Linked DNA regions of Arabidopsis thaliana. The protein of the gene in region 1 purifies or fractionates together with the protein of each later gene. This does not show direct contact. Each region holds a gene or a part of one and is shown in the gene's direction. Other genes may lie near its edges.

Region 1 (7,479 bases):
GGTTTATTCAAATTCCTAGTTTGCTTTTTCTACTTGAGTCCTTAAGTTTGTATTAGAGTCTTCAGTATACTTCATACCTTCTTGTTCAACCCAATTCCAACTCTTCAGTCTCTGCTACATCTTCAAACTCCATCAAGCCTCAAACTAATAATCTTTCAAGTGAGATTATAAATCTTCAAGCTTCTTGGATTGGATATATCAATAGACTATAAAAGCTAGTAGAAAAGAGTAGAAAAGCTAGTTGAGGATTTATAATAAGGTAAATAAGTAGAAAAGACTTTTATAGTCTATTGATATATCCAATCCATTTACTTGATCCATCTCTGTATGCAATCTGACTGACAAATTGTAATTGTTAAACTCTTTTTTACTAGCTTTTTTTAACTCTTCAACATTAAAAGTCTAGAAACAGAAGACAACTATTTACTACATGATATTTTTGGTTATTTGTTAACAAGAAGCACTGTGGTAAAGCAGCCGAGGATGAATAATTTTAGTGTTTGTTTGATGAGTGTTAATCTTCATGGAATCCATAACCACAAAGATTTGGTTGATCCATCTATATAAAGCAAATAGGTGTAGTTAATCAATTCAAGGTCTTTTAGTGTTATCCCTTGCCAAGGAGGGCAACACTAGAGTCTAGAGTTTCGTTTTCCACTTGAGTCCTTCTGTTGGAGACAGTGTCTTCATTACACTTCCTAACCGATTCCAAAGCTTCAAATTTCATCAAACCTGCAACATAATGATGACTTCACAATGGTGTCGAGTGAGCTCCATTAAAACATGTATAGGCCTAGGATTCAGCATAATGATGATCAAGCGCTATCTTGAGTGCATTGTAATTTGATGAAAGAAGTTGACTTGACCAGTGGCAACTAGAGGCTGGAGAAGAGGATTGTCCCAAGTTATAACCTAATCAAAGCTGGTACGTCTCGAAGCATGATGATAAGCTGGTATTGGAGATTACTGTTTTTGCTCCAAGGAATGTCATATCAAGAAACTGTGCATTGTTCTTGTACCTCGCTAGCATCTTCCTTTGTTGGTTACATGGTTTGCTATTCCAACCAAGCTCTGGTACTATAAGGCAAAAGGAAAGGAGAAGGAGACCATTAACTAGTCTATATTACAACAATACATTATATGTTTCGTGGATATCTCTTTTTCTTATCTTCTCTGCTGTTTTCCTTTCTTTTGTAAAGATTGTTCTTTGAACATGAATCAATACACTTTAGAATCTATTAAGATAGCAAATAAGTTGATGCAAAGAGCAAGTGTGAGATGGATAATTGAACGGGAGTGAATGAACCTGTCACTAGATCTCTAATGGTTGTTGTTACCTCCTGGCTCCTCCTCAGCTGCCTAAACTGCGTTTAGCTCGGCCGCCTATCACTTTTTTTTTGTGTGTAGGTTTGATTGGTCTCTCTCATTCAGAATCATATGATCAATTTGTTTTCAAGTTTTGCAATGTTTTTGAAAACATTACATTTACGCTAATTGGATTTTTAAACTCGATAACCGTGATTACAAATAGAGACGTAATATTTTTTAGATTATTTCTCATGTTTTTTTGTGATTTGTTCATCTTATGCATAATTTATTTTTCACTTATGTTCAACAATAGTATACAAAAATTTAGAAATGCTCATCATATATAAAATCACTTTTGACGTTCTGAGGCTCCAATCTATTAAAAATAAACGATATAGATGATAATATATACGTCTTTTAATCAAGTGAATGAATATTTAGTTTTTTTTTTTTTAATAGGCTTCACTTTGTTTCTTACTCAGTTTAATTTTTATTTGGTTTTTATAAAATTACAACTTAGTTTTAATCAAAGGTTCTAAATTAAATTTGACCAAAAACATAAAAAAATAATTACGTAAGAGCTTTTTTGGCAGAAAATAATTTAGAGTAATTATTTATTCCTTCGACGTTAAAAAAGAATAGGAAAAAATATGTTTAAATTGCATCATTCGACCAATAAGATTAGAACTCATCCTTTTTTTTTTTAAGGATATATAGAATTCATCACTGAATACATGTTTTTATCCCAAATTAACGCAAAAGAGAGAACTCGAGATCTGGGCATAGCGACTCACTCAGATCTATACACCTTCTTCTTCTTCTTCTTCTTCCTCTTCCTCTTCGCTTCGTTCGTAAACTCATCTGATCTGTGGTAACCACCATTGTTCCTCTCCTTACGATTTCGAATTTCTGTTTTGATCTCACTACCATTGTTGCAATTTAGATCTATTTCTAATTGTTCGTGATTCGCTTTTTTTTTTCTGTGATCTGGTTTTTGTAGAGTGCCATTATCGTTGAGAGATTATGTTGACAAAGTTCGAAACCAAAAGTAACAGAGTTAAGGGACTGAGTTTTCACCCTAAACGACCATGGATTCTCGCGAGTTTGCACAGTGGCGTGATCCAGCTCTGGGATTATCGTATGGGTACTTTGATCGATAGATTCGACGAACACGAAGGACCTGTTCGTGGTGTTCATTTCCACAATTCTCAGCCTCTCTTCGTCTCCGGAGGTATATATAATTCGGAATCATTGTTAGTGAAATCGTATAAGCTCAAAAGAATGGATCTATACATGATTTGTTGCATTACAATGATGTTGATCTTGATATTGCAGGGGATGATTACAAGATTAAAGTGTGGAACTACAAAAACCACAGGTGCCTTTTCACTCTTCTAGGGCATCTTGATTATATCCGCACGGTTCAGTTCCATCATGAGTACCCATGGATTGTGAGTGCAAGTGATGATCAAACTATCCGTATATGGAACTGGCAATCACGGACTTGTGTTTCTGTATTGACTGGTCACAATCATTATGTTATGTGTGCTTCTTTCCATCCGAAAGAAGACCTCGTCGTATCAGCTTCGTTAGATCAGACTGTTCGTGTTTGGGATATTGGTGCTCTTAGGAAGAAGACTGTATCTCCTGCTGATGATATCATGAGGTTGACTCAGATGAATAGTGATCTTTTTGGTGGAGTTGATGCCATTGTCAAGTACGTTCTTGAAGGTCATGATAGAGGTGTAAACTGGGCTGCTTTTCATCCCACCCTGCCTCTTATTGTCTCGGGTGCAGATGACCGCCAAGTAAAGCTGTGGCGTATGAATGGTAATTATTTGGTGGTATACTTTTGTGCTTACAATTTTTATATGCTATCAATCGTCAATGATGTTACTGATATGAAAATATTCTGCATGCCTTAATCCTTAGATGAATCTCGAAATTGCAAAGACGAGTTGGTAACATGTTTTTAACGATATCATTGCAGAAACTAAAGCTTGGGAGGTGGATACATTGCGAGGCCATATGAATAACGTTTCATCTGTTATGTTCCATGCAAAACAGGACATAATTGTATCAAACTCTGAAGATAAGAGCATCCGTGTCTGGGATGCTACCAAGCGAACTGGACTTCAGACTTTCCGTCGTGAACATGATAGATTCTGGATTCTTGCAGTTCACCCTGAGATGAATCTACTAGCAGCAGGACATGACAGTGGCATGATTGTGTTCAAGCTTGAGAGAGAACGTCCTGCATTTGCTTTGAGTGGGGATTCTTTGTTCTATGCCAAGGATAGATTCTTGCGGTACTATGAATATTCAACTCAAAGGGATTCCCAAGTTATCCCTATACGGCGTCCGGGTACTCCAAGCTTGAATCAAAGTCCTAGGACTCTATCATACAGTCCCACTGAAAATGCAGTTTTGATCTGCTCAGATCTGGATGGTGGTTCGTATGAGTTGTACATCATACCGAAAGATAGTGTTGGCAGGAGTGACGTTGTGCAAGATGCAAAGAGAGGGACAGGTGGCTCTGCAGTATTCATTGCCCGTAACCGATTTGCTGTTCTCGAGAAAAGCACCAGCCAAGTGCTAGTCAAGAATCTAAAGAATGAGGTGGTTAAAAAGAGTCCTCTGCCTATTCCCACAGATGCTATCTTTTATGCTGGGACTGGGAATTTGCTTTGTAGATCTGAGGATAAAGTAGTTATCTTTGACCTCCAGCAAAGGCTTGTTCTTGGTGAGCTTCAGACACCATTTGTTAGGTACGTTGTTTGGTCCAGTGATATGGAGAGTGTTGCTTTGCTCAGCAAACATACTATCATTATCGCGAGCAAAAAACTTGTTCTCCAGTGCACGCTTCATGAGACGATACGTGTGAAAAGTGGAGCTTGGGACGATAATGGTGTCTTCATTTACACAACTTTGAATCATATCAAGTACTGTCTTCCTAATGGAGATAGTGGAATCATCCGAACCCTGGATGTCCCAATCTATATCACCAAGGTGTCTGGTAATACAATCTTTTGCTTGGATCGGGATGGCAAAAACAAGGCTATCACCATTAATGCAACCGAGTACATTTTCAAGCTTTCACTGCTGAGGAAGAGATATGATCATGTCATGAGCATGATAAAGAACTCTCAGCTATGTGGACAGGCTATGATTGCTTACCTGCAGCAGAAAGGATTCCCTGAAGTTGCCCTCCATTTTGTTGAAGATGAGAGGATCCGATTCAATCTGGCTCTTGAAAGTGGCAACATCAGTGTGGCTGTTGCATCCGCTACACAGATTAACGAGAAAGACCACTGGTATAGACTTGGAGTGGAGGCTCTTCGCCAAGGTAATTCTGGAATTGTTGAGTTTGCATACCAGCAGACAAAGAACTTTGAGAGGTTATCTTTTCTTTATCTCATTACTGGAAATTTGGACAAGCTTTCAAAGTTGATGAAGATTGCAGAAGTGAAGAACAACGTAATGGGACAGTTTCACAATGCTCTCTACCTAGGAGATGTTAAAGAGCGTGTTAAGATACTGGAGAATGCTGGTCATTTGCCTCTAGCTTATATCACAGCTTCGGTTCATGGTTTAAATGACATTGCTGAGCGACTGGCAACTGAGTTAGGAGACAACGTGCCCTCATTGCCTGAAGGAAAAACTCCATCGCTTCTAATGCCACCGACACCCATCATGTGTGGTGGTGATTGGCCTCTTCTTAGAGTGATGAAAGGAATATTTGAAGGAGGACTTGAGAGTGCAGACAGAGGAGGTACTGTTGATGAAGAAGATGTTGAAGGGGATTGGGGTGAGGAACTTGACATTAATGTTGATGGAATGGAGAACAGAGATATTGAAGACATTTTGGCGGCTGCAGAAGCAGGTGAAGAAGAAAACGATGAGGAAGGTGGATGGGGACTTGAAGACTTGGTGCTCCCACCAGAGCTTGACACTCCTAAAGCCTCTGCTAATGCACGTTCATCTGTTTTTGTGACACCTCCCCAAGGTATGCCCGTAAGTCAGAGCTGGAGCCAGAAATCTTCTCTTGCTGCTGAGCAAGCCGCAGCGGGAAGCTTCGACACTGCAATGCGTCTGCTCCACAGACAGCTTGGTATCAAGAACTTTACACCTTTGAAATCGATGTTTCTAGATCTGTTCAATGGCAGCCATAGCTATCTGCGTGCTTTTTCTTCATGTCCTGTGGTTCCACTTGCCATTGAGCGTGGATGGAGCGAGTCTTCCAGTCCCAACGTCCGTAGCCCACCAGCTCTTGTTTATGATTTCTCTCAGCTAGACGAGAAGCTCAAATCCGGCTACAAAGCTACAACAACTGGGAAATTCACTGAGGCTCTCCGTCTCTTCCTTTCTATCCTGCACACCATCCCTCTAGTGGTAGTCGAGACAAGAAGAGAAGTGGATGAGGTCAAGGAATTAATCGTTATCGTTAAAGAATATGTCCTTGGTCTTCAAATGGAGCTCAAGAGGAGAGAGATGAAAGATGATCCGGTGAGGCAGCAAGAGCTCGCTGCTTACTTCACTCACTGCAACCTCCAAACACCTCACTTACGGCTTGCGCTGCTTAGTGCAATGGGTGTCTGCTACAAGGCAAAGAACCTCGCCACTGCTTCTAATTTCGCCAGAAGACTGTTGGAAACAAGCCCAGTTGATAGCCAAGCCAAGATGGCTAGACAAGTTGTGCAAGCCGCTGAACGTAACATGACCGATGAAACAAAGCTTAACTACGACTTCAGGAACCCTTTTGTGGTATGTGGTTCCACATATGTCCCGATCTACAGAGGACAGAAAGACGTCTCATGTCCTTACTGCACCGCCCGGTTTGTACCAAACCAGGAAGGAAACATCTGCACGGTCTGTGATCTAGCAGTGATTGGCGCAGACGCATCTGGTTTGTTATGCTCTCCATCTCAAGTCCGGTGATCAATTTCAGATTTCATAATCAATACAGAGATGCTCTATTAACAGAATAAGAGTGTTGAACTTTTGGTGTTTTTGTGATTGTGTACTTACCAATCAGGTTTGAGGATTTTTCTCGTTGCAGGTTTTTATTACTCTTTTAAAAGTTGTTTCTTATCTTTTAGTACACATGAGAACTTTAGCTTCTTGCTTTATAATTTCTCTTTTTGATGCATAGTAGCACTGGATAACTTGTAATTTCAATTTCGGAAATTATGGTTTACTTGTGAAATTATGATTTTATAAATTCTCCAAATTTTTGAATTTTGTGAGTGTCGTTCCTAATTACAAATTTATCTACAACGAAATGTACCGATAAAGTCCAATGTATTTTTTTAATTGAACCGATAGTAAACCAAATTGTTTAGTCAACTAACTGTAGTTCTAGGGAAAGATAACACTGTAACATGTTGATTGCTAAATAGTTTTTTCTCCTTGCATGTTTTATCAATCGAGCTTTTATAAAAAGATTGATCCGACAGAACCCGACGCAACTAAACCGATAGTAACACAAAAACAGAGACACATCAGAGAACACTAATCTCTACGTCAGTGCTGAGAACTCATAATTTCCGTAGCCTCTCCGTTGTAGATATTCGCGATGACCAGCTGTGTTCACCTTTGTAGACAAAAAATAACCAACACAAGATGTGGAACAAAATTTTGAACCAGACGACTCCAAAACTATTTTGTGTGGACAACGCTTCTTGCAATGAGAGCAAATAGGTCGAGTCATATGATGATCGTTGGCCCGAACATATATCTTCTCTCCATTGAAGGAGAAGCTTATCCAAGATGAACCAGGCTTCACGTATAAATCCTGCCCAAGCAGACATTCAATGTGTAGGGTGACGCAACAGTACTCACCACACGTATAAAACCGCTCCTTTGGGTCTATCTCTTGCTCGCAAATATCACACCAATAAGTCGTGATGCATGTCTCCTCGCCATAAGAAAGAGTGAGCATATGTTTATCATGCTCATACCTTACCTCTTGAGGTAAAGTGGCGCATCCAAAACACAAAGCAAAGTAGTCACACTCAATGCAATTGAATGTTTCGTTTGTTGAAAACTGTTCTAACTTTTTGCAAACGGAACATCTTCTTTGCTCTTCTGGTTTCGATGTTAGGAATAAAGAATGTTCATGACTTTTATGGACTAATGGCTCAGACATTGTGGCGCACTGCACATGTAGCT
Region 2 (4,870 bases), on another chromosome or scaffold:
TGGCCACGCAGATTCATTTTAATATGAAACGGCATGAACTTATATATTGTTTACTACAATAATTAGACCATACGGTGCAAAAATTAAAACAAAATAAGTCATGCATCCCTCGTTCTACGGTGACGCATGTTGATGAACGGATTCTATAAAAATAGTAATATTTAATATCTGTTATCCAGTCAGATATATTTAAAACAATATAAGAATTTAAATTGACAAAGAAAGATAAATCTGATTAACCACGGAATATGTGTGTTTAGATTGGTAACGTATGATTAGACACATCAATGCTATTTAAAAGATGCATATGATGATAACTTTTAGAAGTGAGAAGGCCTTTGGATTATTAGGGATTACAAATAGTAAACTTATTATAGATTACTTGAGAAAAGAGATTCATTAAAACAAAATTTGCATAAAGTAAGAACCAAACTAGAGGAGCTTATTCCAAGAAGATGCATTTTACATTTAAAAGGTGCATGTAATTAATGTCTGATAACCATAACTCATTAATTATTCTAATTCAGCTAAAAGCGAGCCTAAACCCATTACACAGAGAATTGCACGAATCACAAGTACACAAATTGATAGAACATTTAGACTTTAGAGGTTGATATTTTTTGATAAACTATAGTATTGATTTATGTTATTAATTGGGTTGTGTAGCACGAGGACTTCTTTGAACATGTGAAATGAATATTGACTTTACGTAAAATCGACCATGCCCTTTAAGTGTTCCTCAAGTTCATACAAAAACAACAGTCATACTCTTATATGTATATTATAACATGATTTAAATTTGAACTATGTTTATTTAACTATATCCTATATATAATTATTACGATTGAGAGATGAGAAAGTTTGTTACAGATGAAGAAGAAGATATTTTCCCCTTAAATTTCTGTAAATGTATTTTGTACAAGTATATATACGATGACAATACAACCGGTTAATATAACCCGCGTAATACAAAATCAATTAAACCGATAAATTAAATCAACACTCTCTGATATGACCCCTCAATATGAGGATTCGAAAATGTTGAGAATGCTCATCTTGGACTTTAGATGTTCAAACTGATGTGAGAACAAATGTTTAGCAAAATATCAGCTATTTGATCATCCGTGGGAACATGAAGCAGTTTAAGCTCACCATCATCCAACTTGTCACGCACGGTATGGCAGTCAATCTCAATATATTTCGTGCTCTCATGGAAGATATAATTGATTGCAATATAGATAACATCTGTACTGTCTGAAAACAAGATAAGAATCGAAGTAGTATCCGTTTAAGATACGAGCAATGTATGCAACCAAACCAACTCACAAGTAGCAAGAGCTAATGCTCAGTATCTAGAAATAACATGTTGCTTCTTAGATCGACATGAGATGATTTATGAAGAAATTTGAGCTTTGATGGCTCTAATACCATATTACGATCGAGAGATAAGAAAGTTTGTTACAGATGAAGAAGAAGATATTTTCTGATTAAATTTCCGTAAATGTATTTTGTACAAGTATATATACAATGACTATTCAACCGATTAACATCACCGTAATACAAAATCATCTAGACCGATAAAACTAACCTAACACATTCTGATAATAACAAATATGAATTTATTGATTTTCTTTTAATTAAGAATAGCTCGTTCAACCAAATGTTGACATCTTTTTTTTTTTTGAACACTACCAAATGTAGACATCTAGTACACTAATTCAACCATGTCTGTCGTCTAATACTATTTCGAGTAGTGTGTGATATGCTTAATATATAAAAAAAACTTGTTCACGTTTCTGATTTTAAAACATAGACTGACCAAAAGCTCACAACACACAACTAGATATAAAGCCCAGGAGTCAAACAAAGAACCTGATTCGTTATTTTGCCGCACAAGGCCCAAATCAAATTAGTGATGTTACTTGAACAGTTCAAAAAGAACTGGGATTATTATGCATTCAGTTTATAACTTAAGGGGTTATTATGTTATTAACCCGTTTACTTTCGTTTGGATTTTGGAATTAGACGCGAAGCTGTGAAATCTAGAAGAAGAAGAAGAAGAAGAAGAAGAAGAAGAAGAAGAAGAAGAAGAAGAAGAAGAAGAAGAAGAAGAAGAAGAAGAAGCAATGTCAGCCATGGGAGCAGGACCAGATCACCTCTTCAACCTCAGAAACAATTTCTATTTGGGAGCTTATCAAACGGCGATCAACAACAGCGAGATCGCCAACCTCTCGCCGGAAAACGCCGTGGAACGTGACTGTCTCGTCTTCCGATCTTACATCGCCCTCGGTAGCTATCAGGTTACTTCTCTAATCATATCGATAATGTCTTCTTCTTTAGATTCGATTACGTTTTGTTTTGATCTGTTCTTCCAAATTTTGGTGTGTATAAGCTTGTTATCAGTGAGATCGATGAATCAGCCGCTACTCCACTACAAGCAGTCAAACTCCTCGCTATGTATCTATCGACTCCTCAAAATAAGGTAATTACGGCTTTGATTCGTGTTCACGAAACATGTTGTAAAGAGATTCAAATGCTTATATGGAACGATTGTTATTGGTTCAGGAATCAACAATTTCAAGCTTGAAGGAATGGTTAGCAGATTCAACAATAGGAAACAATGATACATTACGATTGATTGCTGGTATTATTTTCATGCATGAAGAAGATTATAATGAAACTTTGAAGCATACTCATGCTGGAGGAACTATGGATTTGTAAGATTTTTTCGATTTTTATTTGGTGGATTGAGTATTTATACTGTGTTTTAAAACATGTTCTTAGATGGCTCATTGCTATTGTTTTTCTAGGTATGCCTTGAATGTTCAGATATTCATTAAGATGCATAGAGCAGAGTATGCTGAGAAGCAGCTTAGAGTGATGCAACAGATTGATGAAGACCACACTCTCACTCAACTTGCTAGCGCTTGGTTGAACCTGGCAGTGGTATAATGCGAAATATTCAATGTGTTCTGGCTTATTCTTTCAAAGAGTTGTGTATTTGCTTCTTATGCTAAGGCGTTATTTGATTTCAGGGCGGTTCGAAGATACAGGAAGCTTATCTCATTTTCGAGGATTTTTCTGAGAAGTACCCAATGACATGCTTGATCTTGAATGGCAAAGCTGTTTGCTGTATGCAAATGGGTAACTTCGATGAAGCTGAAACACTACTTCTTGAAGCACTCAACAAGGTAACTACAAATTAGGCTTGTGTACCTTAAATTTGCTCTGTACATTAGCATTCTCGGGAACAATATGAAACTAGGGACCTCTCTAAATTTCTCACACTGCACTTGTCTCTTGGCTTTTCTGTATATGGGGAAGTGTGTTTATACTAATTTGTGGTGATTGCAGGATGCTAAAGATCCAGAAACTCTTGCAAATCTTGTTGTGTGCAGTCTTCATGTCGGGAAGTCTTCTTCACGCCACCTAAGGTAAATTTTCATTATCTACTCTTATATTAGGCATCATTTGCCCAATCAATCAGTAGAACTCACTGAAAAGTTAATCGAGAGTAACTGTGTCCTTAATCCTAATAAAAACATTGGTCGGTCTCGTTTGTTAACTTCATTTGTATCACCTATCCTTCTTGCAGCCAGCTAAAACTTTCACACCCGGAACACATACTTGTGAAGCGTGTATCATCAGCTGAAGATAACTTCGAGAGAGCAGTTCAATTGGTCGCCTAAAGACTCTTCCATGGTTCAAGCTAAAAGACGTGCAGGATTTGTTTGCTTTACCGCATATTTTCACCGGGTTGGTAAATCTACCAGAACAACCATACTGTCTTGTCTTTTCGAAACCAGTATATGAACCAGCTTTTGCCATTAGATATGTTAAGTTACATTTCATTACTTGAAAATATCAAATTCCACCTCTCGCACTCTCAATTCCGTTTGTCATTTACTTAATTTCGAACCTAACCAATCCAGATCGTGTAACTCAACCCGAAACCTTGAGTGAATTCAACCGATCGTTTGAATCCAAACTAGAAATACCAAAACAAACAAAAGCTTCTCACTTGGAAATACTTCAATTTTTTTCCAACCAATGATTTTCACTTTTTACACAAAGAAGCGACATATGTCTTCCGTTAGGATTTTGATAAACCTCAATCACAATAAAATAGGTGATTGACATGGATGATATTTTATTAATCAATAATCTCATATATAATCTCTATATATGGATAAGATGAATACTATTCTACTAAGAATAAATCCATCTTCTTCTACTACCTTCACTACCATCTAGAATCAAGACTCTAATGAAGGAGTCCTTGAAGGGCAATGCTCACATACCTAATGCATAATGGTCAGTATGCAGAAACCAAGGAAGAAGATCCATAGCCACTGCGATGAAGCTTTTGCCATCTCCATGCCATCTTTAAACTTTCTTGAAGATTGGTGTGCTTAGCTGTCCAATTCAGCTCTTCTTTGATTTTTCTTGGATCGCTGTAAACCTCTGCGTAATCTCCTGCCCGTCTTTCCAAGTAATCGACTTTTATATCAACGCCGGTCGCCTTTTTGCACGCTTCCACAAACTCCTTCACCGAGCTACCTGCTTGCACAACAATTAATACCACATTCTCTGAAATCCATTCACTTCACTATCCTAGAATCTTTGCCAAACATCTAATTTTATACCTTTCCCGGTACCAACATTGAAGATACCAACTTTGCGGGGTTTCGCCTTTTCAAGAGCTTTAACATGAGCATCAACCAAGTCGGTGACATCAATGTAATCACGTACACAAGTCCCATCAACAGTCTTGTAGTCTGTTCCTTTAATCTGCAGATAAAAACCAAATAAACTTTTAACAGAGATTATATGTGGTGATTACGCACAAAAAAGAGCCTGGTAAATACCT
Region 3 (4,360 bases), 2.5 Mb from region 1:
CATTACACGGAGAGCTTTTGCAGCGTCTCTAACGTCAAAAAACTCCACAAATCTTTGTTCTCTCTTACACGGCGTCTCTCTCACCTGCTTCACTTCTCCTACAATGATTTTCGTAACACTAATTAGCATAAAGTTTGCAACTTTATTTGTTTATCTCGTTAAAAATTGAAACTTTACCATAAACTTGGAAAATGTGACGGAGAGTTGAGGAAGAGACGGTGGGTTCTAAGTTCATAATGACAAGAGAGCCTTGATTGTTTCCTTCAGGAACAGCATTGAGTTGAGGAAACACGAAATGGGCCCAAAGAGAATGACCGGAGACGAGTCCACGCGCCGTCGTGAAGTGGAAATGTTGTTGTTGTTCCTGTTGTTGCATGTGACGGTAACGTATCTCGTTAAAAGCTCTTTGTGAGTTTATTAGATTGTAGAAATGGAAAATCACGATTCCTTCATGTGCTCTTTCCATTTGGACTCCACGGACTTCACCGAATAGTTCCATGTCTCGTCTTAGAGATGTCTCAGTGACGGTAGCTGGGACTTGTAATAACATCACGGCTCTGGTTGGTGTTACTGAAGTCGGTGGAAGATGAGGAGGAGGAGGAGGAGGAGGGAGAGAGAAATAAGAAAAGTATAGCGGCGGCGGCGGAGGAGGAGGAGGAGGAGGGGGATGAGGGAGGAAGAATCTTGTCGGAATTAAGGAGGGGTTTTGGTTTTGGTGTTGGTTTATCGCCGGAAAGAACGCCGGAGCTGTTGGGTTAAGGTTTGTTGGGTGACTGAATGGTCCGGTGACAGACATTGTTGGTTTAGAGGGAGAGGTGATGAGTTGGGAACTGGTTTTTCCGGTGACAGGTAATGACTATGGACGTTTGATATTCTTCAGTGATCGTACTATTTCGTCTCTCTCTACCTCTTTATTTGGTGCCAAGGGGAGGGAGAGGGAGAGAGCACAAAAGTGGAATTTTTGTTGGTTTTGTTTTTATTCTGCAGAGATTTCTATTATTATTTCCCAATTTTTGTTTACTAACAAAACAAGTCAAGGTTCTTTAATTTAATGGTGTACTAACTCGTTCGAGCAATTTACCATTTTGTCCTTTGAGAGGGTTTCATTGCAATGGACTGATGGAAAATGCAGAGTATTCAAACAATTGTAGAGGTTTTTTTGTTAATAATCACGAGAAGAACATAGGTTACATAACAAAGTCTCATTCATTTTTCTATGTTGATTTAGTTTTTAAGATAATCAAATCATGTTTTTCTCTAAAACATTATTTACGAAAGAATTTTTCTTGTTTAAAACAAATATCATAGTTAGATTTTATGCCTAGGAACACAATTTTCGATTAGTTGGGTACCATTATCCATGTATCATACTATATAGAATTTGTATTTGGGTGCAATAGTTCGTAATGTCGTGTTCCCCAATTTCACCGCAAAAGTGCATGGGCCGATTTGTCGTGTCTCTCTCCATCTCAATGCAAAGTGTAAACTATCTAAGCCTATACATTTCTAAATAATCTGTAGTATTGTTTATGTTCCATAAATGTATAGTGACAACATTCCTTTTGACGTAAAAACAACGAATAAATCTCACCCACATAGACATTACATTACATTTAGCCCATATTAGCCTAATCTAGCCTTTTGTTTCATAGATTTTTATAAGTTTTCTACAATCTCCTATCACAAAAGAAGGATTAGGGAGGCCCTCTAGGTCAGATACGTAATGGTTTGGAGCTATGGAGTTTGACATACGTAATATCTGTCTATGTACATATAATAAACGCATGTCATGTAAATATAGTTATAGTTCGAGGGTAGGACCAAATAGGGACCAGGGCAATTCCTTGTTTTAAGGAATGTTATTGTTACCTACTTCCTTGTTTTGGGCTGTCATTTGTTTTTGTCATGTTTATACCATATCCTTCATTTATTACATAAACTACATTCTCTAGCTAATAATAAAAAAAGTGTGAAAACGTGAATATCTTCTATATATTATTTCAGAATTCAGCTACAAAAGTTAAGAATAAATTATGAAGAAACTTTGTTGATTCATCATGATGTGATCATAATGATGAAGACATGAAGTTATACTTCAAAAATTTTATCAACTTTTGGTTAGTAAATTATTTTAGTGATTTTTTATGTGTTATTTATTCAAAATTTAAAATGAATGTTTATATGATTTTCCACTTTTAAAAAATAAAATTGAGAATGGTTGGTATGCAATGAGCCAATTAGTGATTGAAACGAAATATCAAACTTTTATTTGTTCGATCCCATGGTTACTTGACCTTACCACGAGACCGGTTGGGCTAATGAGAGTAAAAGAAAAATAGGCATATTGGGCCATAAGCCAAAGGCCCACGTAGTGCATATTATTCTTAGCTCTTTCTTCAAACAATTTGATTTACGAATCTGCCATTTCTAACGATTTAGGGTTTTACTCAGTACCATGTCTCGACCGTTTTGAATCTCAAATCTTAACACTCTTCTTCTTTGAGCTCTCACCTTTTACCATCCGAGATCTGTATCGGATCGAACCGCCGAGAGTGAAGAATCAGAGATGGCTTTGGCTTTCGATGAGTTTGGCCGGCCGTTCATTATACTAAGAGAGCAAGATCAAAAGACTCGTCTTAAGGGCATCGATGCTCAAAAGGCCAACATTTCCGCTGGTAAAGCAGTGGCTCGGATTCTCCGATCCTCTCTCGGTCCCAAGGGCATGGAAAAAAAATGCTTCAAGGACCTGACGGAGATGTCACCATATGTTAGTTTCTTCCTTTTGAATCTCATCTCTCTTAGGTCTATCCCTATGGCTCTTGCTTTGAACAGTGGATTGCAGCCCATTGAAACACTCTCAGCTGTAAAATCTCAGCAAATTAAGGTAAGTGATTGATGTGTTTTGTCTTTGTTTACTTTATATATTGGCTTGTTACTGTGAAAGATGGGTTAAGTATTGGGTTTGTTGTTGAATATTCAGGAGAGGAGAACATTCCATTCTACGGGATTGATTGCAACGATGTAGGGGCTAACACATGAGGGAACAAAACATGTTTGAAACGTTGATCATGAAGCAGCAACAGATCGTACTTGCAACACAAGTAGTTAAGATAATCAAGATCGATGATGTCATCTCCCCATCAGAATACTGATGAATGATAGTCATGTTTGGATTGTTTACGTTTTCTTGCAAGCGTATTTATGTAAGAACATTCCACAGATAATTTTTCACTGTGGTTAGGTGTGCTGATTTTGAATTTATTAAGCTTGCGGTTTTCTTTCGACATTAGAAGACTTAAGTGTATTGATTCAGGGATTGAGTTTTGATTGGTCCCTCATGTTCAAAGCGATGAACATTTATGAGTTAAGAAAAATAGGACTGTTAGAGGTTGATGAAGTTGAACATTAATGGAGCTGAGTAATCATTGGTTTGTATTTTGTAATGTTTTGATAGTAAAAATTTTGGTGGGTCGGGTTAAAACGTTTACATGCGTGAAAGTCAAATAACGTTCTGTACCTTTTGTCTACTGCAGACAGTTGTCATGAATGCTTCATTATGCTTCTTTGTTTGTTTGGTTAAAACCAATTTTGATCATGTTTGGATCTTGACAATGTTGCATTTTGATATAACATATTGTTTTTATATAACTATAACCGTCGGTGATCCGGGTCAGCATCGTATTAGGGATCCAAAACTAGTTATTTAACCACATGATCCGACTTAAGCCGTTCGACTAATCTCAAAAGCAGTTGTTCGACTAATCTTAAAGGTGAGTCAGTTCTACTGAAAAATCTACTATCTAATAATGGTCGTCAAATATTTTGAAACGGCTATGAGTGTAAGAGTCTACTATTAAAGCATGTTGTTTGAATCATAATCATAATCAAATCTGATTATAGTTAGTTGCTCCCGAAAAGGAAATTAGTTCGTTCTCTAGCACTTGCGCATTTTTCATCTTCAAAACACCGATTTTGAAAGTTACTATATTTGACATCTTTTTTGAAACGGCATTTTTCAAACTGCAGTAATGTAGTACTCTAAGATTTATTTCACATTTGTAACAACTTTTTTTTTTTTTTTTATATCTTAGTTTTGGTTTGCCACATTTTCCGGTTCATTTTTAGTATATAGATTTTATTTTTATCTTACACTCTGTTATTCGGTAAAATTCGCTTCACTATCATTTTTACTCATTACTGTGTTTTATTTTCTTCTGTATAGTAAATTATCTATCGTAATAATGTGTTAGATTAACCAAATGATTAGCTACACACTTGTTCGAGGTAGTTTTTTTTTTCTTTGGTACTGAAAAACTTGCAAGTGTGCCATCATTTGGTACACGGTGATATATTGATTGAG
Region 4 (6,004 bases), about 14 Mb from region 1:
GACAAAATAACTGTGATTGGTGACATATTGAGGTTTTCCAAAAAAGCTATTGAAATACGCACTTATATATGTCTCCAATCAAGGCCTTAGATTGGTACGTTCGTAGGCGTTCTTATGGAATTTTAGAATTTTGTTTTAAATATATACCCTATAATTTGATAAGTATTTTTGAATTAACTTAGATATTTGTTGGAACAAAATGATTTTAAGTGTTGATTAGACTCTTGTGAGTGGTGGTTCAAGTTGAAATGAGGATATTTATTTTCTTTATTTAAATTTTAATGAAAATATCATAGAAGAGCAACATTCTCGAAAGTTTAAATATCTTGCAATAGGTGTCAAGTTCGAAAGAGCACTCCTATGCCTTTTGATCTCTTTTACTTTAAAATCATCACTTTTTACATGGTCATTTCAAAAACTTCTCTTTAAATCGTTGAACAATTTTTTTCTTTTCAAATAATAAATATCTGGACAGTCAGTGAATATGGAACTTTCTTTATCAAGTATGATATATGAATATGAGAATGATGCATTGATGCTTTGTATGGTTGGTTATTGATAGGAATACCCCAAATACGAAGTGGTATTTTGATAGATAAGACTAAAGAGATCCTAAAGAAAGAAAGAGATCGAAAAAGAAAAAGGAAAAAGAAAAAGAAAATAGGTATTATTAGTTGAGTTTAGGACCAAAAGTGCAACACACCAATACGAACCCGTATACACTACTACGCGTACGGCTCTTCCTTCACTCCTTGTATGGGTCCCTCGCTGAGCTTCTATAGTGGAAGCTCCCCAAACCCAACCATGAAATTGGCTCCTCATCACATTCACACCTTTAAAATTCCAATGTAATATATTTTCTTTCTCTGGAGACAAAACTTATTTTCAATCTAGTCTATTAGTTTGAGTTATTATTTGGAGTTTAAAAAATATGTCCTTTTCTTTTATTTGGTATTTCTATCCGAGAACACTTTGGCTGATTCTCTGGCAAAGGCTAGTCTTAAATCTTGTATCATCTCCTCTAGTGATAGAGAGTTTGAGTAATCTTAACGTCCCTAAATGCATAAATATATGCATTTTGATTAGGATATTTTTTTCTTGTTTTTTTTTTGTTTGCATTTTGATTAAGATTTATACACGATGGTTACAATTTTACTTAATTAATTATTATGGCTTTTGACCCCGAAATCGTATATTATTATATTCAATTCAGAATTTTGTATCTAAACACCGTTAGTGAAAAGTTTTTTTTTTCAGTATTATTACAAAGACAACGTTTCTCCTAACAAAGGAGAAACAAATTACAACAAGATCATCACAATCATCCTTACATATAAATAATCTTCGTTTAAAATAACCTTCTTATCATAAAACAATGCCCAACTTAGAGTAACAAGAAAGAACCAGCAATGGATGTAACACCAACGACGACCGCAGAGACGCCAAGAGCTGCCGCACCGCTTTTGGCAGAATCAGCAGAGCCTGTAGGCGCATTGTCGTACGAGGAGTCACTTCCTAGAGGACCAGCCACTGCAACGTCACCGTCACCAGGAGTAGGAGCTGCATCGTCATCGGTGGTTCCGATTTGGTCATCGGTGACTGGAGCCTCGACATGATCGGTTTTGGAGGCAGCTGGAGCTTTGGAGGGAGACGCTGAAGGAGATGGAGAGGAGGCAGCTGCGGCAAGGCCAATGATGGCCATGAAGACGAGGGCAACCACGACGACAATGTTTTGGCGACCCATTCTTCTCTCTCTCCTTCTTACGTAGAACTCGTTTAATTTATTTTAGGGTTTGAGGTTTATTGATTGTGATGATTTCCGAAGATGAGTTTGATATGTATATATAGTTGTGTTTTGTGATCAAGACCAAAAATAAAATAGAAAACGTTTGAACTAAGATGTAGGATTACCTTACAATCCAATGTAAATCTACTGGAGTACCTAAAAATGGACTTGTTCAGATATAGATTTTGATTGGTGAACATGCGAATGAATATGAAACCATTCGTTCAACTTCAAATCGTCGTATTAACGAGTGTCTTATTAAAGAACCAAATTATGATAGTATTGCCATGAACATTCTATTCATCTTATATCAGATGGGCTTTAAACCCATAAGCCCAAACGTCTTGTTAGGCCCATGAATCAATTCCGATTTACGATTCTGCCATCAACAGCGAGTTAGGGTTTTACACTCGACCACTTTAAGCTCTCAAATCTTCCAGACATTCTTCTTCTCGCTTTTTTCCCCATTTCAACTTTTTTTTTTCCTCTCCAGTGCACTAGGAAACAAAAAAAACCCAAGATCTATAGTTCGATCGGATCGAGAGAAGCTCGAAAATGGCGCTGGCGTTCGATGAGTTCGGGCGTCCGTTCATTATACTGAGAGAGCAAGATCAAAAGACTCGTCTTAGAGGAATCGATGCTCAGAAAGCCAATATCGCCGCTGGTAAAGCCGTGGCTCGGATCCTTCGATCCTCTCTTGGACCCAAAGGAATGGATAAGATGCTTCAAGGACCTGACGGAGACATCACCATCAGTTCGTTTCTTCCTTTTGATTTCTTCATATCTGCTTTTAAATTTCTAGTTTCGCTCTTGTTTACTTGGCATAGTGTTTACTATGTTGATGCCGTAGTTTGATGAATAGATCCATCTACTTTTTGAAAATCGATTCGCTATGTCTGTTAACTTAGCTCAGCTCTACTACTACTTGTATATTGTTTGTAACCTCGCCTTTGTTTTGCTTTTGCAGCAAACGATGGTGCTACGATATTGGAGCAAATGGATGTTGACAACCAGATTGCGAAACTAATGGTGGAACTGTCGCGGAGTCAGGATTATGAAATTGGTGATGGAACAACAGGTGTTGTTGTTATGGCTGGTGCACTTCTTGAGCAAGCTGAACGTCAGTTAGATAGAGGAATTCATCCCATTCGTATTGCTGAAGGATATGAGATGGCTTCTAGGGTGGCTGTTGAGCATTTGGAGCGTATTGCCCAAAAGTTTGAATTCGATGTTAATAATTATGAGCCTCTGGTTCAGACTTGCATGACTACTCTGTCCTCGAAGATGTAATGTTCCTTTTTGATATTCAGGCTACTTTTCAATAGTTGTTGCTTGTTTTTACTTGGTTTATAGTATACTGTCTTAACTCTTTCTTGCTCATTGTTACAGTGTGAATCGATGCAAGCGCAGCTTAGCTGAGATTGCTGTTAAAGCGGTTCTTGCTGTTGCTGATTTAGAGAGGAGGGATGTTAACTTAGATCTGATCAAAGTAGAGGGGAAAGTTGGGGGAAAGTTGGAGGACACTGAGCTTATTTATGGAATACTGATTGACAAAGATATGAGTCATCCGCAAATGCCAAAGCAGATTGAAGATGCCCACATTGCCATTTTGACTTGTCCCTTTGAGCCACCGAAGCCGAAGACTAAGCATAAGGTGGACATTGATACAGTGGAAAAGTTTGAGACATTGCGCAAGCAAGAGCAGCAATATTTCGATGAGATGGTACAAAAGTGCAAGGTAGGTTTTAATTTGTATTAATTTATATTGTCAGTTGGATGTTGAGTAAGCTACTGAAGAAATCCTTTTGACAATGGTCATTAGTACCACAATGCATTTTATGATATGATTTATGTATGACCCTTATGATTTTAACTTTGCAGGATGTTGGTGCTACGCTGGTTATTTGCCAATGGGGATTCGATGATGAGGCAAACCATCTATTGATGCACAGGAATTTGCCTGCTGTCAGATGGGTAGGGGGTGTTGAATTAGAACTTATCGCAATAGCCACAGGTAAGTAAAGTACTCTTAAGCATCTAATGCTAGTGTTTGTATCAGTTATGCAAAGCTGATCAGAAATTTTTCTTTTTGTAGGCGGTAGAATTGTTCCAAGATTCCAGGAGTTGACCCCAGAGAAGTTAGGGAAGGTATTTTTTTTACTTTCACTAGGTTTTGCTTGTAAAATGTTAATTAGATTTTAAACAGACCATTGAAACCCAACATTTCCTGATATATTTAGGCTGGCGTGGTTCGTGAGAAATCTTTTGGCACAACAAAAGAACGAATGCTGTATATTGAGCACTGTGCGAACTCAAAAGCTGTCACTGTTTTCATCCGTGGAGGTAATCGCCTTGTCTTTTGTACTTATTAGCACTTTAGCAGCACTGTTTTGACTTTTGAATAGCTGATGAGAGATAAACATCGATGTACTGAATCTAATGCCTTCTAAGTATATGGTGGACAACGATATTGTATAACTGATTGATCCAACGATTTGTTGCGGAATATGGTTTAGGTAACAAAATGATGATAGAAGAGACGAAACGTAGTATCCACGATGCTCTGTGTGTGGCTAGGAATCTCATCCGCAACAAATCAATTGTTTATGGAGGTGGGGCAGCTGAAATCGCTTGCTCACTTGCGGTTGATGCAGCTGCTGATAAATACCCTGGCGTGGAGCAGGTAAAATATGATCTTTCCTCTTTGATACCCTGAAATGAAATCATTTGTTTCTCAAATTGTAACTCTGAATACTAATCATGTATAAATACTTCCTCATTTACAGTATGCAATTAGGGCGTTTGCAGAAGCTTTGGACTCTGTCCCTATGGCTCTTGCAGAGAACAGTGGATTACAGCCCATTGAGACACTCTCTGCGGTTAAATCTCAGCAAATTAAGGTTAGTAAACGACGAACTTTATTATCTATATCATTGACTTGCTTGTTCGGTGACTGAACAAACATTGGGTTTTGATGAACAGGAGAATATTCCCTTCTATGGAATAGATTGCAATGACGTGGGAACAAACGATATGAGGGAGCAAAATGTGTTTGAAACATTGATCGGGAAACAGCAACAAATTTTGCTAGCTACGCAAGTCGTTAAGATGATTCTAAAGATCGACGATGTCATCTCCAATTCTGAATACTGATTTGTTGCTACCTTTGTCCTAACCTTTGGCTTCTTCGGTGTTTTTTGTTTGCTTTCTATTAGCTTTTGATACCCTTCGACATCGTTATCCTTGACTTGTTCCCTTTGTTTTGCAACCTTCTATTTAAGAACATCGTCAGATCTTAATTTTTGTGTGTACTTGTCCACAGATCGAAGCACTCGTTTGCATTTTCTTTTCGATTTAGTAACTGATGCAGGTCTCATACTGTAGACTAAACTATTATCGTATTAGTGTAACACCAGTGAACGAGGACAAAAGTAATTGTTTGCTTGTACATAAGAACATAAGAAATATGAAACCAAGCTTCGAAGGCTTCAAATACCCATCTGCTATGGTCTTTGTACACAAAATCTAAACCCTGAAGACTAATGTTTCCCACTCTTAAGATCTATAAACTTCGAAATCTGTTGCAGAGGGACTACAAGGCCTGAGTACCAAGATTTCTCCTCGTCTTATTCAAATCTCAATTCCTCTTTGTTTGTTTGGCTTCGCCTTAAGACATGAAAACATGAGTCTTTACCTCTTCTCTGTTTCATGAGAATGCTGTTGTTCTGTATCATGGCCAATGCCGAATGTCCCATTCGTAGTCTCGTCCTTTTGAATGGATGGCTTCCCATTCACAGCTACTGTGCCATCGGATGTTTCATCCACAGCAGAAAGTTCTGTTTTTTTATCATCTTCAGCGACAATGGCTGTATCAGATTTTTCATCTTGTTCATGTGCTTTGTCTGTATTTTGATTAGATAGAGCTGCTTCAGCTTTCTGCCTCTCTTCTTTTTCTCGACGTCTCTTTGCTTCTTGCTCTTTCAGCAGCCTAAACCTGGGATCACATGGACGTGTTAGTACAAAAAAACAGCTTCTAGGAACGAATGATGACACATTTTAGAAGATTTGGTTACCTTTCACCAGGTTTGGGGCATTCTGGGGTCACCTTTTCACCACCCTTCTCTCTTGGTATTTTCAGTTCTGAAACAGACTTCTGAACTAGTGGTTCTGAAAAAGACTTCTCAATTTGTTGTGTTTTATCTTCCTTAGTGACCAAAT

What was found.
Region 2: the proteins of AT1G62020 (region 1) and AT2G34840 fractionate together in Arabidopsis thaliana (co-fractionation; one large-scale study listed by BioGRID). This does not show direct contact.
Region 3: the proteins of AT1G62020 (region 1) and AT1G67760 fractionate together in Arabidopsis thaliana (co-fractionation; one large-scale study listed by BioGRID). This does not show direct contact.
Region 4: the proteins of AT1G62020 (region 1) and AT1G24510 fractionate together in Arabidopsis thaliana (co-fractionation; one large-scale study listed by BioGRID). This does not show direct contact.

The regions. Positions count from the first base shown.
Region 1 is NC_003070.9:22,917,483-22,924,961, forward strand, and holds AT1G62020 (Coatomer, alpha subunit), read left to right. Parts: upstream 1-2,004; 5' UTR 2,005-2,179; intron 2,180-2,308; 5' UTR 2,309-2,331; coding exon 2,332-2,539; intron 2,540-2,643; coding exon 2,644-3,138; intron 3,139-3,298; coding exon 3,299-6,246; 3' UTR 6,247-6,542; downstream 6,543-7,479. Other genes in the region: AT1G62030 (Cysteine/Histidine-rich C1 domain family protein), read right to left, coding at 6,827-7,479. UniProt on the Arabidopsis thaliana protein: The coatomer is a cytosolic protein complex that binds to dilysine motifs and reversibly associates with Golgi non-clathrin-coated vesicles, which further mediate biosynthetic protein transport from the ER, via the Golgi up to the trans Golgi network.
Region 2 is NC_003071.7:14,700,477-14,705,346, forward strand, and holds AT2G34840 (Coatomer epsilon subunit), read left to right. Parts: upstream 1-2,011; 5' UTR 2,012-2,126; coding exon 2,127-2,300; exon of another isoform or gene 2,301-2,392; coding exon 2,393-2,482; intron 2,483-2,565; coding exon 2,566-2,717; intron 2,718-2,810; coding exon 2,811-2,946; intron 2,947-3,035; coding exon 3,036-3,191; intron 3,192-3,354; coding exon 3,355-3,434; intron 3,435-3,595; coding exon 3,596-3,689; 3' UTR 3,690-3,895; downstream 3,896-4,870. Other genes in the region: MEE25 (NAD(P)-binding Rossmann-fold superfamily protein), read right to left, coding at 4,316-4,560, 4,647-4,791, 4,869-4,870. UniProt on the Arabidopsis thaliana protein: The coatomer is a cytosolic protein complex that binds to dilysine motifs and reversibly associates with Golgi non-clathrin-coated vesicles, which further mediate biosynthetic protein transport from the ER, via the Golgi up to the trans Golgi network.
Region 3 is NC_003070.9:25,404,479-25,408,838, reverse strand, and holds AT1G67760 (TCP-1/cpn60 chaperonin family protein), read left to right. Parts: upstream 1-2,420; 5' UTR 2,421-2,566; coding exon 2,567-2,884; intron 2,885-2,980; coding exon 2,981-3,025; 3' UTR 3,026-3,523; downstream 3,524-4,360. Other genes in the region: TEL2 (terminal EAR1-like 2), read right to left, coding at 1-98, 178-796.
Region 4 is NC_003070.9:8,684,439-8,690,442, reverse strand, and holds AT1G24510 (TCP-1/cpn60 chaperonin family protein), read left to right. Parts: upstream 1-2,196; 5' UTR 2,197-2,341; coding exon 2,342-2,540; exon of another isoform or gene 2,541-2,640; coding exon of another isoform or gene 2,641-2,680; exon of another isoform or gene 2,681-2,753; coding exon 2,754-3,072; intron 3,073-3,175; coding exon 3,176-3,524; intron 3,525-3,667; coding exon 3,668-3,800; intron 3,801-3,881; coding exon 3,882-3,934; intron 3,935-4,026; coding exon 4,027-4,129; intron 4,130-4,302; coding exon 4,303-4,469; intron 4,470-4,572; coding exon 4,573-4,686; intron 4,687-4,768; coding exon 4,769-4,939; 3' UTR 4,940-5,172; downstream 5,173-6,004. Other genes in the region: BCP1 (homolog of Brassica campestris pollen protein 1), read right to left, coding at 1,385-1,744; ALB4 (OxaA/YidC-like membrane insertion protein), read right to left, coding at 5,477-5,780, 5,860-6,004. UniProt on the Arabidopsis thaliana protein: Molecular chaperone; assists the folding of proteins upon ATP hydrolysis. Known to play a role, in vitro, in the folding of actin and tubulin.